Stegostoma tigrinum: one gene and its partner. The protein of the gene in region 1 interacts with the protein of each later gene in a biochemical or structural test. Links are inferred from orthologs where the notes say so. Each region holds a gene or a part of one and is shown in the gene's direction. Other genes may lie near its edges.

The links.
Region 2: the proteins of cav1 (region 1) and ptgs2b form a complex in vitro, tested with the Homo sapiens proteins (2 studies listed by BioGRID). The link is inferred for Stegostoma tigrinum from reciprocal best matches to the Homo sapiens genes CAV1 and PTGS2.

What each region holds. Positions count from the first base shown.
Region 1 is NC_081371.1:34,143,030-34,151,594, forward strand, and holds the start of cav1 (caveolin-1), read left to right. Parts: upstream 1-4,977; 5' UTR 4,978-5,295; coding exon 5,296-5,325; intron 5,326-6,219; exon of another isoform or gene 6,220-6,460; intron 6,461-7,235; coding exon 7,236-7,400; intron 7,401-8,565. UniProt on the Homo sapiens protein: May act as a scaffolding protein within caveolar membranes. Forms a stable heterooligomeric complex with CAV2 that targets to lipid rafts and drives caveolae formation. Mediates the recruitment of CAVIN proteins (CAVIN1/2/3/4) to the caveolae.
Region 2 is NC_081361.1:46,206,633-46,215,034, forward strand, and holds the start of ptgs2b (prostaglandin G/H synthase 2), read left to right. Parts: upstream 1-5,247; 5' UTR 5,248-5,277; coding exon 5,278-5,371; intron 5,372-5,776; coding exon 5,777-5,893; intron 5,894-5,996; coding exon 5,997-6,140; intron 6,141-6,736; coding exon 6,737-6,880; intron 6,881-7,187; coding exon 7,188-7,369; intron 7,370-7,539; coding exon 7,540-7,623; intron 7,624-7,767; coding exon 7,768-8,014; intron 8,015-8,223; coding exon 8,224-8,402. UniProt on the Homo sapiens protein: Dual cyclooxygenase and peroxidase in the biosynthesis pathway of prostanoids, a class of C20 oxylipins mainly derived from arachidonate ((5Z,8Z,11Z,14Z)-eicosatetraenoate, AA, C20:4(n-6)), with a particular role in the inflammatory response.

The sequences.
Region 1 (8,565 bases):
AATCTGGTTAAGATGTTTGAGTCTAATATTCACTGAGTTTAGATAAAGAAGAGTGACCTTTGTGAAAAATAAGAGATTCTGAGAGGTCTTAATGGGGTAGACAGTGACAGGATGTTTGCCCTCAGGGAATCTATAAGTAGGAACCTCAGTTTGAAAATAAGGGGTCTCATTTTTATGGTACAGTTGAGGCTGAACTTCCTCCCTCAGAAGGTTATTAGTGCTCGGAATTCTTTTCCATAGAGCAGTGAAGTCTGGCTAATTGAATATACTCAAAGCTGAACTGGACATTTTTTTTGACAAGGGTGTCAATACTTATGGATGCTAACAGGAAAGTGGAGTTAAGGATACAATCAGATCAAACATTATCTTATTGATTAATAGACCAAATTTGAGGGCCCCAATAATGTACTTCCACTCCTATTTCCTCATATTCTTATGTAAGTTGTGATTGAATATCCAATAGTAACAACTTTAATTGAAAGATTGGGAAGCAAAACAATTCCAACTGCTTATGCTTAAATGATTAGATTTACTTTAATTTTACCATATCAAATGGATACAAATCTTCAAAATCAGAATACATATGCACACTTCTTTGTTACAATGCTGTATATTGTACCTTTATAGACCAATATTATGCTACTGTAATAACAATTAATGATGATGAAGTGTTGATTATCTTCAAGATATTGTATTCTCAGCACTTGAAAAGATTATGCACTGCACGTATGTAATGGATTCTATATTTATCTATCTTATGTTTGTACATCAGTGGAATATCTATGTCAGTACTTTAAAAAGTTGAGCCCTGTGGACATATTGTACCTTCTTCAGATCTATTTTGTGATACCATTTTAAAGTTACAAATTAAAACAACTGGGTGGCATCATACATTAATATTTATTTTCCTGACATGATTTGGTCTGTTATCAGCCTGAAACCAGAATCAGTTTTAGCAGGAGCTTAAGAAATTTAGCATTTAGAAAAGTTTATCATGTGCACTTTACAATTACTGAATAAAGTTAAAGGAGGTCTTTTTTTTAAATCCACTGACTCCACTGGGTAAAAGCATCATCCAGATTTTATCATCATACAAACAAAACAGCATAGATTTTGTTCTGTATTGTGTTAACTGACTGTGGAATGGCAACAATTGAAATACCACAATTCAATCAATGTGCCTTTGGTTATGGAAAGATCACTACAAACTATCAAAAGTAAACTTGCAGACAGAACCGTAAAGTCAACTTGTGGAAAAGACCACTAACTGATAACTAAAGTTGTCATGCTGAGTAAATGTAGCCTTGCTAAACTGCATAGCAATCTTACATTTTAGACATAACTTGTTCTGCTAACATAGAGATCCCAGTTATTGTTGAGAGATTGCACTCTTTAATGTGTCTTCATGTCTGTCATGATTTATATTTTGTTATCAACAGCTATTACCTCAAATGATGATGCAAACCTTTATGCATAAAGACTTTTTATAACCATAATACCGAAATCTCAAAACTATTTGTAACCTCAGAGCTTAACTAAATTATCATTTATATATAAACTCAGTATATAATCTATATGCCAGTTCACGATCTTAAAAGCTTGATTTGTAAGTCATCATGATAAGCTGAATTGAATATTTTATACACTCTAGATATCTAAGCTGGATTGCATGCACAAGGTAAAAAAAGGACTCATAAACTACAAACTAGTGCAGCAGAGAAGAAGGCCATTGAGAACAATGAGATCAGCATTACTTTTAAAAGAAAATCCAATCAGTAAAATTCACCCATTCTTTCTTCATAGGACTGCAATTTGTCTCCATCAGTTGTTTGTCCAAATCCTTTGTTGAAGATGGCTAGTGTATCTGTTTCCAGTGTCTGATGAGCCAAATTCTGATAATTCCAAATCCTAACAACTCATTGAATAAAGATAGATTTTCCTCATTGTCTCAAATCAATCACCTGAAATCCCTGGTTGTCACATCTTGGAATTTCTCTCTCTGTCTATTTATTCTGTTTGAACATTATATGATCTGAAACACCTTGATCACAACTCAGGTAAACCTTCTCTAATCTGATAGTCTCTCTAGTTTCTCTAGTCAGTCTAAATGACTGCAATCCCTCAACACTAGAACTATTCTAGTAAATCTCTGCGTCCTTTCTAAATCTTTAACAAACCTCTTTAAGTACAGAGCCTAGAATTTGACAAAGAATTCCATTTGGTATTGAATTAGTGCTTTATGTAGGTTTAGAATCACTTCCTGGAGTGCTATTCCATACTTTTGTCATGAAACCCAGTCCTGCTTTGGTACAGCACTTCCCGTAACTTTATCACTTCACAAGCACTTTAGTACTTTTGATATACAGTAAATGTTGCAATGTATGAAACTGGATGAATAACAAATACCTATAAATAGCAATTTGATAAGAGTCAGAGAATCAGCTTAGTGATGTTTCTTGGGAAGAAATATTATCTGGGCCACCAAGGAAACTGCCCTACACCCCATTGAATTACGTTTCACATTTTTAAATTCAGGAATGAGAGGATGATACTTTAGTTTAACATCTGATCTGAAAGGTGTCACCTCCAATTGGGAGATGGATGAACAAGATTCCAGCATTAGCACTGAGGTGGATTTAGCTGTAAAAGAAGCTTCAAAGATGGGAGAGGTGATTTTGGGAATGGATTTGAAACAATGATAAAGATTTTTACATTTGAAGTATTGGTGGACAGGTAACTGATGTAATTTAATTAGAATGGGCTTTGGCATGGGATAGGATGTGAGCATCAGAAATTTGAATGCGCTGAAGTTTGCAAATAGCAGATGATGGATAACTGGCCAAAGGAACATTAGAATTGTTGGATCTGTTGTATAAAGGTAATGGCTCTGAAAGAGTTAATGTTACATTGACTCCACTATTCTACAGCTGTCATACACACACCTTGTACATTATTCTAGCTTTTGGAGGGACCAGATACATCTCTATCAGATCACTAAGGTCTTAATAATTATACATGGCAAAAAACAGTTGCACTTTGTACGATAATGCAGTAAACCTTCCTGTTATTTAAAAATAGATCTCTGTTTTAGATAACCTATAGTGGTGGATCCTCAACCATTTATAACTAGACAGACTGAATACAAAACAAAGACAAAGGGGAATGGTATATCTGTCAGTGAACTATCAAACAACTCTTACCCAGTACCACATACTGGCAGAAGTAGCAGATACCAGGATTGTTCAACAGGGAATACCACAGGATCCAAAGGGTGCAAAGGCTTTGATGAAGGTTTGACCAGTAAATGTCCAAAGGCAAGAATGTATTGGAGGTGGGAGGAAGTGATGATTATAATGGAGGGAATGAAAATCAGGTTCAATAGAACATACCCACAGGTGCAAACAGCTGCTTCCAGTGGCTGGAGCTGTTTGAATGATGGAATCACTGCATTTGATCTTGGAATGGGATGTCATAAAGAAAATAGCTGCAGTCTTACCAATATTTAGTTGGAAGAAATAAAGCTTAGATTTTGGAGATGCAGTCTTTTAATAGCAATGAATGTTTCACAGGACCATGTTCCCATGTTTATAGATGATGGTACCTGGGACCACTATTGAAGGGAGATGTTGTTTTCCCAATGTATCAAAGACTGCTGATTTTGGACACCCATCCCTAGATCATAGAATCTCTACAGTGCAGATGGAATCCATTCAGCCCATCCAGCCCGCACTGACACTCAGTACAGCACCCCACCCTAATCTTGTGACCCTGCAACCCCAAATTAACCATGGCTAATCCACCTAGCCTGCACACTCCTGGACACTACCAGACAATTTAGCATGGCCAAACCAGCTAACTTGCACATATTTGGAACTTGGGAGGTAACTGGAGCACCTGGCACAAACATGGGGAGAATGTGTCACTCCACACAGTTACCCAAGGCTGGAATTGAAGCCGGGCACCGGGTGCTGTGAGGCAGCAGTGCTAATCACTAAGCCACCACGCCAAAAATCTGAGAAAGTGGAAGATGTTAGATGTATGCTCCTGGGAGAACTGGATTACATGGACAAGAATGGTTGCAGGTTAGCTAGCTCAGTTGGCCAGAGGCTGGTTTGTGAGGCAGAGTAACACCAACAGCATGGATTCAGTTCCCATGCTGGTTGAGGTTACCATGAGGGACTCTCCTACTCAACATTTTCCCTTGTCTAAGGCGTGGTAACCCATCGCCAGTTGTCTCTTTCTCGAAAAAGAATACTGTGGGACCTTTATACTGTAGTTCAAGGCAAATAGCCGTGTGAAGTTTAGTTTGGCCCCCGGTCTTTGCCACATGAGTGCATATCCATAGACGGATTCCTATTGTTAACAGTAGTTAAATCCCTATGAAGTTTGCTGGATTTCCTCTTTTCGAAACACCGGCGCGGTATTTCGGTGATTAATACTGCTGCCTCGCAGCGCCAGGAACCCGGGTTCGATTTCCCCTCCTCCGGTGACTGTGTGGCTCTCTCCGGGTGCTCCGGTTTCCGCCCACAGTCCAAAGATGTGCAGGCCAGGTGGATTGGCCACACTAAATTGCCCATAGTGTTCAGCGGTGTGTAGATAGGTGGGTTTATAGGGGGATGGGTCTGTGTGGGATGCTCTGAACTTGTTGGGCCGAAGGGCCTATTTCCACACCAGAGGGATTCTATGATAAATCTCGCAAGTAACTCGAGCAAATTTCCAAGATAATAAAATGTGAGGCTGGATGAACACAGCAGGCCAAGCAGCATCTCATTGTCCCCATGTCCGACACTTTGCTTCCCTTCCTAAGAAACAGACTTCACTGCACTGTTACCCTGTTTGGAAAACATTTTCCCATTACAATGCAAGTATCAGTTGAACTTTCGTCACTAATTTGCCGGAGTTTGTCTCGCCCTTCCTATGCCAGCACAAGAATGCCCTGCATCCGTGCATTAACACTCGATCTCCTCTCACACATTCTCTCCCTCTCGCTGGCTTGTCGATGTTCGCCTCTTGCCTCCCACAGCGGGTCTTGCCCAAGCCTTGCTGCTCGCTATGATTCACTGCGAAGTCATGTATGCATTCCCTATTTTCCGCTGTAGCTGGGAACTTGGCGTTCTGTGCACTGAAAAGCGGCAGCTCTTCAAGTCAGAGCTCCCTTTACAGCCCAGAGGAACTGGCGGTCTGCCACAAGGACCAGCGATCACTACCTACTTTCACGTTACTATCTTCCTTCCGCAGGGTAATAGTAATAGAGAGCTGCAGCAGATTTGCTGAAATCCTCCAGTTTGGGAAGCTATGTCTGGTGACAAAACCGGGGATTTTGAGGTAAGGAAGAGTCGCGCCCGCCTTATTACAACTAAATGAGACCACAGCTGAGGAACGGGACAATAATAATGATCTGATGCAAGATAGTAACAATATTTGGGGGGGGGGGGGGTGTTGCTGTACCGGTTTTTCATTGTGAAGAGCGTAGGCAAGGTTGCCTGTTGATTGTGAACGCACACTGCAAAATAACTGAACCTATCGTGACTTTGAAACAAAAATACTTGGCCATAAAAGAAGCTAGAAAATACACGAGGCTTTTTTTCTTAAAAGAAGTCAATTATACACGTTAGATTGTTATTCAGACTTGTAAATCAGTGGAATATAAAAAATGTCTTGTGATCTGGGGAGACAGGACAACATATGGCGATGGTCTATGCTCCTCAGAATTGTCAGGAACAGGCTATTCGGCTGTTTGTGCCTGTCTCGCCAGTATGAGGAGGTAAATCCATATTCCAATCTTATCCCTTCAGCCATCTGCCTCCAGAATTAGATCAGTCCCTGGTGGTTTATACCCAAGGACTGAGCATTCAAAGCTCTCGGGGGGCGGCAAGCTTCATTGTACTCATTCCTAAATCGCAGAATCCTTATTGTGCGTCTGCCATGCCGTCTCCCCAACTTGAACCTACCAAATCCCTCCAGCATTTTCTGTTCCTCTGGCGTTCATCGATATTCTTGTAACCATGCAAAAGTGGCAATTGACAAGAGGTAACTTATGGATGGTGTCAGTTCGATAGGATTTAACCTGTAGGATCCTTCATTAAAATGAGGGATTCACAGGAGAACTGAAGCCCATGAGAGGACATAGGCAGCGGTCTCTCTCTCTGTTTCAGAAGACGAGTACAGTTTAAAGGGCGCCACTCTACACAGACCAAGGCGAGGAACCAGTTCTCGATTAGGTACCACAGTCAGTGCGGGGATTGAACCCGCTATTCTGTCCGACACGTTAACTTCGTACTGACACTCGGGTCTTAAGGAAGCTCCCCAAACAATCCCTTTCCTGTTAAAGGGACTGATCTCCGCGGTGACTCAGTTCTCAAACTGCTGGATTTATTAATCCTGCATTTGTTCTGCAAAACAAAACAGAACAGAACTTTCGGAGGAAGGGAATCAGAGGCTGGTGGATGTTCGTATACAGGTATTGAATTCGGTACCTCTTCGAGCAGTTGTGCATTGCCCAAAGGGGATGGGGAGGGAGAGAGAGAGGGTGGGAAGGCCGGCTGTAGGAGAATTCGACGCCGTGTTCAGTTAGAGAGCGGTTTCTGGACTCGAAGTCTTACAAGATGATGTCCCAACAAAACGGGCAAGAGGTAGCCTGGATGATGGTGTCCCTGGTGCGAGATTTTCCAGAGCTGCAGTGATTCACTATAGCCCGCAACGAGAGATTTCCCAGTGAGATGCAGTGCTGGACTGATTCACTGCATTCCTGAATAAAAACAAAATCCCAGTGAATGCATTGCTAGAGACTCACTACATCCCTAAATTGGAGAGATTTCCTAGATGGTGCAGTACTGCAGTGTGTCACTTTATCCCTCAGTTGGAAGACATTTGAGGGGGTGCATTACTGGAATGACTCCCTTTTATCCCTAAGTTGGAGTGATCTCCCAGAGGGTGTATAACTGGAATGACTCACTTGTATCCCTGGCAGTGAGGGAGATTTCCCAGTGGGTCAGTACTGTAGTGACTCACTGTATCCAGGCGAGCCCCCGTGCTGCCCCCTGCTGCCAGATGGAAATGGTTTTGCTGCCGCCAGCTCCGGTTTACAGGGGTGTGGTGCCGCTTTACTTTTCCACTTAAATACGATCAGGCTCCACAAAGTTCCTCTTAAGCATCAAGCAGCGACTACCTTCCGAGTTTTATGTTGGAACAACTCAAAGTCAGCTTAAACAAGGAATTGTTGTAACCCTTCCCAGGGACTTTTATACCCGTCGCCGATCAGAGACCACGGGAACATTTACAAACCCAATAATAAAATGGAAGATGAGAAGTTGAACGAGAAATACGTGACAGATGTTCACACCAAAGAGATCGATTTAATCAACAGAGATCCAAAACATCTGAACGAAGATGTGGTTAAGGTAAGGAAGAGAGACGAACTTTGTTAAAGTTGGGAATAATACAGGAATTAAAGTTAAATGTTTGTATAGAAGGTAGTCAGAGGTAACAGGTTTGCAGGGACAAGGTTATTACCCAGTACGATTCCAACTGCTCGCAGTCCTATTGACGAACCCCTGCTACCAATTATAATTTTTCCAGTTTCTCTGGGAGTCGTGTCTCCCCGTGAAGCATCGAATTTTCGACCCCCAGGGAGGATATGAATTGATGTTGAGCTACTGATGTGTTTGATAGACACCAGGGATGGATTGCTGTTGAAAGCTATCACAAAAAACATGGAATTGGCCGAGAGATGATTCATCTGTGAAATAGCCTGAGATTTCAGCGACAGACCGGAACTTGTAAACAGCGTGAAAAGTGCAGGGTCCTCCCGGTGTGTTGAAAGGACCGTGTGGATTATACTGAGTGCATAAAAGGCATTTATCAAAACTGCACCCTGCAAGCAACACCATACCCCGCTGCACTCATCACCCAACCCACTGCTCTGTAACCACTCAACCCACACCCCAGTCCACATCACCCACCTTCCCCAGGCCACTGCTGTGTACCCACTGCACCCGATTACTCTGTAACATTTCAAGCCGGTCCACTGAACCTATCCCCCGCCCGCTGATCTTTACCTACTCAAGTGACTCAACTGTCCACTCCACCCATCCTCCAACTCACTGCATTGTGTCCACTACCCCCATCCCCCAGCTCACTGTCCATTTCCCACTTCATTGTTCTGAGTCTGCTGTTCCCAGCCCACTGCTCTGTGCCCTGAGCTCCACCACTGCTCACTGCATCCAACATGAAGTCCACTGACCCCATTCCTCTGTATACTGCTCTGTGCCCATTGTGCTAATCCCCACCACTTACATTGTTCATTGCATCCATCCCTCTGCCAGTAAAATTAAGACAGACATGGCTAGGGTGAATAGTTGGAGTTTTTTTTCCCAGGATGGAAATTTCAAAATCTAAGGAGCATATGTTTAAGATGGACAGGGGGAATTTAAAGGAGACGTGCAAGGAAAGTTTTTATGCAGAGGGTGTCAGATGAGGTGGTAGAAGCAGATAATATGGCAATGTTTAAGAGGCATTTAGACAGATGCATGAACAGGCAGGGAATAGAGGAATATGGACCTTATG
Region 2 (8,402 bases), on another chromosome or scaffold:
TCAGGGTGATAATTCTCTTAGAAAATTTTAATTATTTCATTGAAGATTACTGATTCAAGCTTGCACTGTCAGAAATGTGCATTCTCACGTACACAGACATACAAGAACATACAACAGGTAGTAGCTAGATTGGGCTCTATGACTCATTGAGTACAGTCAAGTCAATCAAGTTGATATTGAGCTTCAACTGCACTTTTCCACCCGTTCATTTAATCAGACCACATATGTCTATTTCAGCCTTAAATGTTTTCAGCGATCAAGAAGTCACCACTCTCTAGGGTGTGGAATTCCACAAATTCGCAGTCCTGGGTGAAGAAATTTCTCCTCATCTCATCTTGGACGGTCAGCTGCTTGTCTACATGCTATGCCTCTATGCCCCAGTAAGGGAAACGTTTTCTCAACAATGAACCTAACTCTAACCCCGTCAAATCCCCTTAAATGTAAATCACCTACCATTCTTCTAAACTCCAGGCAATATAGGCCCAGGTTCCCTCATATATGAACACACACACACACACAAACTCACTCTCACACACGCACACATTCTCTCTCACACACACACACACACACACATACTCTCTCTCACACACACAGTCACACACACACACACACACACACACACACACATTCACTCCACACATTGGCCTGAATCTTCACGCAGATGGGCACTCTCTACACTTGTGTTGAAAATGCTGGCAGAGGCCTGAATGTGAAAGTCTCACTTAAAACCCAGCACCTACCATTTTCAGGGCAGTGGGAGTAAAGAAAATTGCTGAGTGATCAGTCTGAACAACTCCAAGGGACTAAATGGAACTGTCAGTTTGCTTGAGGGGAAGGGATTAAGTGAACTGTTCAACTTCATAAGAGATTACTTGAAGAAATTTGTCTTGTTTTAAACAGTAACCTCATCAATGGAGAAACAACTTGATTTCAGCGGTGTTCCTGGTTTGCCCACAGTGAACACTAAGTGAGTTGGTTGGACAGCAGAGTAAGGACAATGAGTGAAGTCAGAGGCATAAATTGGCACAGGGGCTATACAGGGCTATTTGAACGAAGTCAGAAGTCACATGACACCAGGTTATAGTCCAACAGGTTTATTTGAAATCACAAGCTTTTTATCCACTGCCCTTCGTCAGGTGACAAAGTTGTTTTCATTTGAATGAGACTATCTATTCGCATTGGGATTGCAAGGGACAATATGGGATTATTGGATGGGGGTATGGAGGCCTGTGGGAGTTAAGATATAGTAGGTTAGTTTCCAAAGTCATTGTGTCTTTATTTTTGTTTTGTGTATTTCCTTTTTTAAAAAAATCAGAACCCTAACAGTGTTCGGGGCATAAGGGCAAGCTTCAGCTGTAATTAGGAAATCACGGAGGCCAGCTCCCAGGGATCCCTTCCTGCAGGGCGGGGAGATGGAGTCCGAACTGCAAATCCACCCGGTTCTGCCCTCGTCACGGAGCCTCACGATGGGTGCCTCACACACACACATTCCCAATGGGAACAGTGGGTTTTTTTCACCTGACTCAGAGCTTCCGGATCCCTCCTCCGACACAGGAGTTCTGGCTCACGTACAGACGACCGCCTCTTTCACGTAGGATGACCCGATCGCTGGCCACGCAAAACACGCAGCTCGGCCTCAAGGGAGTGAGGATTAACAAAATTGCGTAAAAGCGGACTGGGATCGCAGCCCAAAAAAACGCTACACACTGCGAATGAGAGCTGCAGCTGCGACCACAACAGAATGGGTCTGCATCCTTCTGCTTGAAATCCGGGCAATTTCCATGCCTCATTACAAAAAACGGACCATTCCAGATGACACTTGTTACAAATACACAACAGATTTTCAGGAATGTTTGAGGGAAGCCAACATTTCGAGTAGTAGACCCGCGGATCGATCCAAGTCTGGATTGCCTTTACTTTTCCGTTTAGACTTTAACTGCTGTGTGTTTGCAGCATTTAAAAATAAAAAATGATTTTCACTTCACATCACAGGGCACCCCCTGCTAGTATCTATTAATTGGAAAAAGTAACAGCACATGACAGTCGAGACTTCTTGCAGCCCGAAACAATGTGCCAGATGCTCCCGTGTCAACAATAGCGCCTGATTGGACTGAAGATGTTGTTTATCAGGATTCAGCGGGGCTCCCATTTACCCGGGAATTTCAAACGTCCAATCAGTTCAATTGCTAGGGCCGTCCACAGAAACAGGAACAGGACTAGGCCGTTCGGCCCCTCGAACCTGCTCCACCATTCAATAGTATCACGGTTGGTCCGACGCTCTTCATGCCCGCTTTCCTGTCCACTCCCCTTAATGACCAAGGGGAGCTATCTCAGTGGCCAAACCCTTGTGCTAAATATTCACGACTGACTCAAATGCTCAGCCTAGAAACGATCCTGTTTAACCTCTCGTGTATCGCAGTGATTTACAGAGTAACTCAACTCACCAGCGCATCCAAACACTTCACACAAAACCGGAAATCTTCACCCTGTTAAAAGTGCTACATCACTTCAACATTGAGTTCTGTTCACTGAATAAGACATTTCAAAAGAATAACTTTGAATCCACCTGTAGAGAGTTTAGGGAACTTTCTGAACAGTCGGGCTTTGAAATCGTAGCCTCATCGCAATGGACACAGTCTTGTGGAAGACAGACAGTCAAGAGAGCCCTGAGAGACAGGGAAGACCCATTCACTGCCTTATTGCCACTCCAAGCAATCCTGCTTAAGACTGCCGTGATGTTACCTGTAGGGTAGGACAAATTGACCGAGATGACACTGCCTCCAAGTATAAGCACAGATAGATGAAAAATAAGATCATGTTCAAACTATTGGTATGCCCCAGTGAGAGAGTAGACATCTTTAGCAGACCAAGGGAGAGAATGAATGGTGATTTATTGTAGAGTACAACTGTCAACGAACAGCAATGTAAAATAGTGCGAAAAGCTCCAACTGTTGCCACAATCCAGCACCATTTGAATATCTTAGGAATAAAAAGTCTATCATTGTAGCACCACCTCCACCATGACTGCTGAGCCGGGTGACCAACCACACTTGTGCTGTCAGCCCTTCACCACCTGTGCCAGACCCACCAACAGAGTTGCCACTCTTCAGGTGCCATCTCTTCATTGCTGGGCCCAACTTGGCTACCCAAAATCACACCACAACCGGGGATCCTTGGCTTCACTGCCACTGCTGCCGCCTCACTGATAACCAGAAGCCCCCTCCCCCCACCCCCACCCCAGCTCCGGGCCTACCACAACCATTATCCACTGCTGCCACCTCACCAGTAACTCAGAAGCCCCCAGCTTTGGGCCTGCAGTGACCAGTACCTGCTGCTGCCACCTCACCAATAACACAGGAACCCGCATCTCCGGGCCCACCACAACCAGGAATTCCTGGCTCCGCTGAAACCACTGCCTCACTGATGCATGTACTCCCTGCTCTGGGCCCAGCACAACCAGGTTCCTGGCTCTGCTGCCAGGCCGGGCTGTTACCTCATCAACAGCCCCACTTCCCTCTGTGACATTACCTTCTCCACTGCTGACAACAGGAAATGAGGTGAAGAAAAGGAAAAAGAGATAAGACAGAAGGGGTTAAGGAAAGAAGTGAAGAAGTGGCCTTCTGGAGGTGATGGCCCCAGGAGCCCAAATGCTGTGTACCTTGCCAGTGCCATCATCTTGAAGTTAGAATAAAGAAATTAACACAACTACCGTCATTTTGGAATTGTGATACAGTTTATATTCTCTCTTCAGCAATGTCACTCTCTGTTTCTTTGAGTGAGCTCTAAAAAAAAGTAACACCAACTCATCCTTTAACATTTGGAATGGTTACCACTTCACACCTAATATTATTGCTCCTGTTAAAGCAGTTAACGTGTGACAGGGCAATGGGGTTGAAGTGTATTGTGTGATACTGTGGCTGTCAGAGTCAGAGGACTAGATAATCTCAGTTATGGTTATGGTAGGCGGGGAAATAGGATGGCACAGTCCAGAAATTAATTAGAGTGTGTTAAGAGAAGTTGCGATGCAAAGGAAATTAAACACCCTCCAGCATTTAACCAAGAGCAGTACTGACAAAGATCTTTTAACAGGTTTGCCAACTACCTTGGCTGCAGAAAATATGTGATTTTGGGAGATTAAAAAATGGAGACAGGATTGAGGGGAAGGGACAGAAGGCGGATGGGGATGGTTGGTGAAACAGGGGAAGTGAAATTTCCCTGAATTATTTCCTTGGTAACCTTCACATTGTAAAAGATGACTTGATGGTACTGTGGTTTCTTTCTTTCAAATTTCAATGTCAATTTCATAGCAGATATCTTCAGTTTATTGTCAACAAAATCAAAACGGTTGAGCAAAAGATGTTCATTGATGATCAAAATGACAAACTAGGTATCATAGATTTCAGGAACCTCACATTTTTTGCTTACAATTGTATCACAATTTACACAAATATTTATCTTCTCAACATAAATGAAGTGAACAGCACAATGCTGTTTAGATTCTCTCTGACCATTATCAAGTAACGACAACAAGTAATTGTACATAAGAAGTAAAACGTAACTGAGTGTGAGGAATCGGAAACAAAAACAAGAAAAAAATTGTAAAGGGGTTCAAACTGAAATTCTTCTCTGTCCAAATTCTGATGATCTCTTGTATGTTTCCCAATTTAGATAATGTATTGGGGTGTCTTGTTTTTATGAATAGGTTAAGAGTGGAAAAGGAAGGAATTCGTTCTGAAACGATGTAAAACATGAATTACACCTCAGCAGGAGCAGTAGGTCAGAGTTGGAGACCACTCATTAAGAAGCACGTTAGAGATAGCCCAGAAGAGATTTATTACAATGGCAGCGGGATAAGGGGCTTCAGTAATGTGGGGGAATGGAGAAACTGGAATTATTTCTTGGGAGAGTTAAGGGGGTTTAGACTTATTCAAAATCATACTAGGTTTCTAGAGTGAATGCAGGAGAAATTGCTTCTAGTGTTTGATAACTGCCGGATCGGGCTCAAGACTGGGAAGGGAGCACGTGAGGGGAAAAGTTTTCTTGACAGAGAGTGGTGCCAAGAAATTTAATAATAACTTTACAAACAAACATTGGGGAAATACTGGACGATAGAATTAGAATTGCTATGGGGGGAAACAGACGGGGGCTGAGATGAATGGGTAAGGAGCAGACGATGAATAGTTGGAAGACGTCACGGCGTGACTCATTGTTGAGGAAGAGCCAGTCTTTAATAAGCCAAGGGGAAGCGCTAGGGAGCAGATTCACAACAGGCTTCGAATGAAAGTGACGACGCTTGGAGAAGCCGGCGCAATGAGCTCACGAGCAATGCTATTGTTACTTGTTGCCGCGATTCTCCCTCTTCACCAGGCAGGTAAGGAGAAAACTGACTCACTCTGTCCGCCTCTGGGCCAGGATAGGAAGCGACAGGCTGGGCACTGACTGCGGGGAGCGGTTATACTGCCCGCAGCGTAGGGTTTCAGCACAGTGTGCTTCAGAAAACATGAAGCAGGCTGCAGTTTCCTGCTCTGGATAGGATTCTGGTTTCTGATCTGCATGAGGTGATTACTGAACAAGAGCTGGCTCTACAATAAGGCGCAGTAGTTGTCCTGGTTACTTGCCTCCAACTCGAGTGATTCGGAATATAAACTAGTCTCCCTGGCTGGGAGGGATTTTAACCGTGCTACCTTTAAATTTGAATCAAGGTGAGGCGAGGCTGTGAGAAATACAAGGCATAAAATACCTGCGAGCTTGACTTTTATGTGTGTTTTCCTCACAGCTAACCCTTGCTGCTCCAATCCCTGCCAAAACCGGGGAGTTTGCACCGCGGTCGACTCCGACAACTATGAATGTGACTGCACTCGCACTGGATTTTACGGCGAAAACTGCACCTCACGTAAGTGCTGGGATTGACTGACAGGTTCTTTTTTTCTGCGCGTTCACTGTTCGCCTTTCGGATAATCCGAACCCTCACCTGAATACCTGTCCTCTCCCAACAGCCGAGTTCTGGACCTGGGTGAAACTGAGCCTGAAACCGACTCCTAACACAGTCCATCACATCCTAACCCACTACCCAGGAATTTGGAATCTAGTCAACCAGATCCCTTTCTTAAGGGACAGGATTATGCGTTACGTCTTAACGTGTAAGTGACTTAAAGTAGCAGACGGTTACTTTTATTTGGATTATTTGCTGTCACTTTTAAGTCAACAGTGGCAGTACCAAATGTGGAGAGCAGATGCAAATTAGGCTTTTCGTTAGAAAAAGTGTCATTTAAGGGACGTGGGCATTAATGACTAAGTCAGCATTTTGTCCGTCTCTTAATGCTGTTGTGCAGGTGGGAGTGAACTTTGCGGTTCTTGAGGGTCTGGGGTTAGGTTGGGGGTCAGAGGGTCAGTTCTGCAAAATTTCAAAAGGCAGTCATGGAATAGCTTTCAATGAGGTTATCATTGGGCACTAGGTACTGAAAGCATGGTAAATGCATTTATGAACGTTGGGATATTTATTTATTGCTCACGAAGTAAAATTACATATGATTCTGTGAGAGATGGCTAGGGGATGGGAAATGATCGGATTACATGGATTGCTATGCAAAGTGAGTAGAGGAATTTTTACCTCGTGGTTCATTAGATCGTGGGAATTTATTAGTTCTATATTATTAATGACATCATATCTACTGTTAGACATTGGATGGGGCATGTGGAATCTGATTATGAATGTACTTCTTTTCTCCACAACCAGCCAGATCTCATTTGATTGACAGTCCTCCTACCTACAATGCGAAGTACTCATACAAGAGCTGGGATGCCTACGCCAATATCTCCTACTACACCAGAAGCCTTCCCCCAACTCCTGAAGATTGTCCAACACCAATGGGAGTAGTTGGTGAGTTACCAGAACAAGAAAACTTTGCTGCCCTACTAAAGGAGATGTCCAGTCTACTCCTGTTCCCATCTGAGATGCGCTTCCTGAGCCTTGTATCGAATTCGTGTCCCTTATGGGTGAAAAATGTTGTCCAGGATGGTGCTATTTCCATCCATGTTTTTTCTAATGAGCAAAATACTGTAATGTTATTGCTGTAACAGACAATCCATGAAAAGGATTGTTTTATTGCTCAGGATTGGGGTGGAATGGCACCACTTTAACAGAATTAGGTTATGTTTTAAAGATCTCTCTCTCTCTTCTCTCGCAGGAAAGCAAACACTGCCTGATCCTAAGTATTTAGCAGAAAGATTCCTGATGAGGAAGAAATTTGTTCCTGATCCCCAAAAGACCAATATGATGTTTGCCTTTTTTGCTCAGCATTTCACACACCAGTTTTTTAAGACTGACCAGAGCCGAGGCCCTGCATTTACATTGGGTTTAGGACATGGTGTAAGTATAAATCATTTCTATGGTTTCAACAATAATTCACAAATATTGAACATTAAAAAAATTGTTATACTTGCTTGTCATAAATCAATTCATATCAAAAATATATATAATCCCAACGCTATGCTTAAAATTACTGTGAACTTGTATTTTATATGCTTTGTATTTTGCAGGTTGACCTGAGCCACATCTATGGAGAAACTTTGGATCGACAGCACAAACTAAGACTATTTACAGATGGAAAACTTAAATATCAGGTAGATGTTTAAACAGAATTTGTTATCATGTATTTAGAAAGGTAGCAACATTTGCATGTTCAATGTCCAAATGCCTTTGATTTGTTTGGCAGTGTCTGTACGAAGCCTTCATGAAATGATCTAATTCACAAATATTTCTTGTAGGTTTTAAATGGAGAGGTTTATCCTCCCACTGTTAAAGATGCAGGGGTAGAGATGACTTACCCTCCTCATATCCCAGATCACTTGCGGTTTGCTGTGGGCCAAGAATTCTTTGGACTGGTTCCAGGGTTGATGATGTATGCAACAATCTGGCTGCGGGAACACAACCGAGTTTGTGATGTGTTGAAAGCGGTGCACCCTGACTGGGATGATGAAAGGCTTTTTCAGACAACCAGGCTAATATTAATAGGTGAGTGGATCTAACATATTCAGCTGCCTTCTAAAATGGCTCCTGATCCTTTGGGCATTTTGAGATGCAGAGCAGCATGCTGGCATGAAATACAAAAACACTGAATTCGTAGAACTTTACAGGTTTAAAGTTGAGTTTAAATAAACACTTTGGCATTAAAATTCTCTGCATTTAAATAAATATTTAAACTATCTTATTAATTTTAATAGGGGAGACAATCAAAATTGTAATTGAAGATTATGTGCAACATCTGAGTGGTTATCACTTCAAGCTGAAATTTGATCCAGAGCTGCTCTTTAACCAACAATTCCAATACAGTAACCGGATTGCATCGGAGTTCAATACCCTCTATCACTGGCATCCCCTGATGCCCGATACCTTCAACATC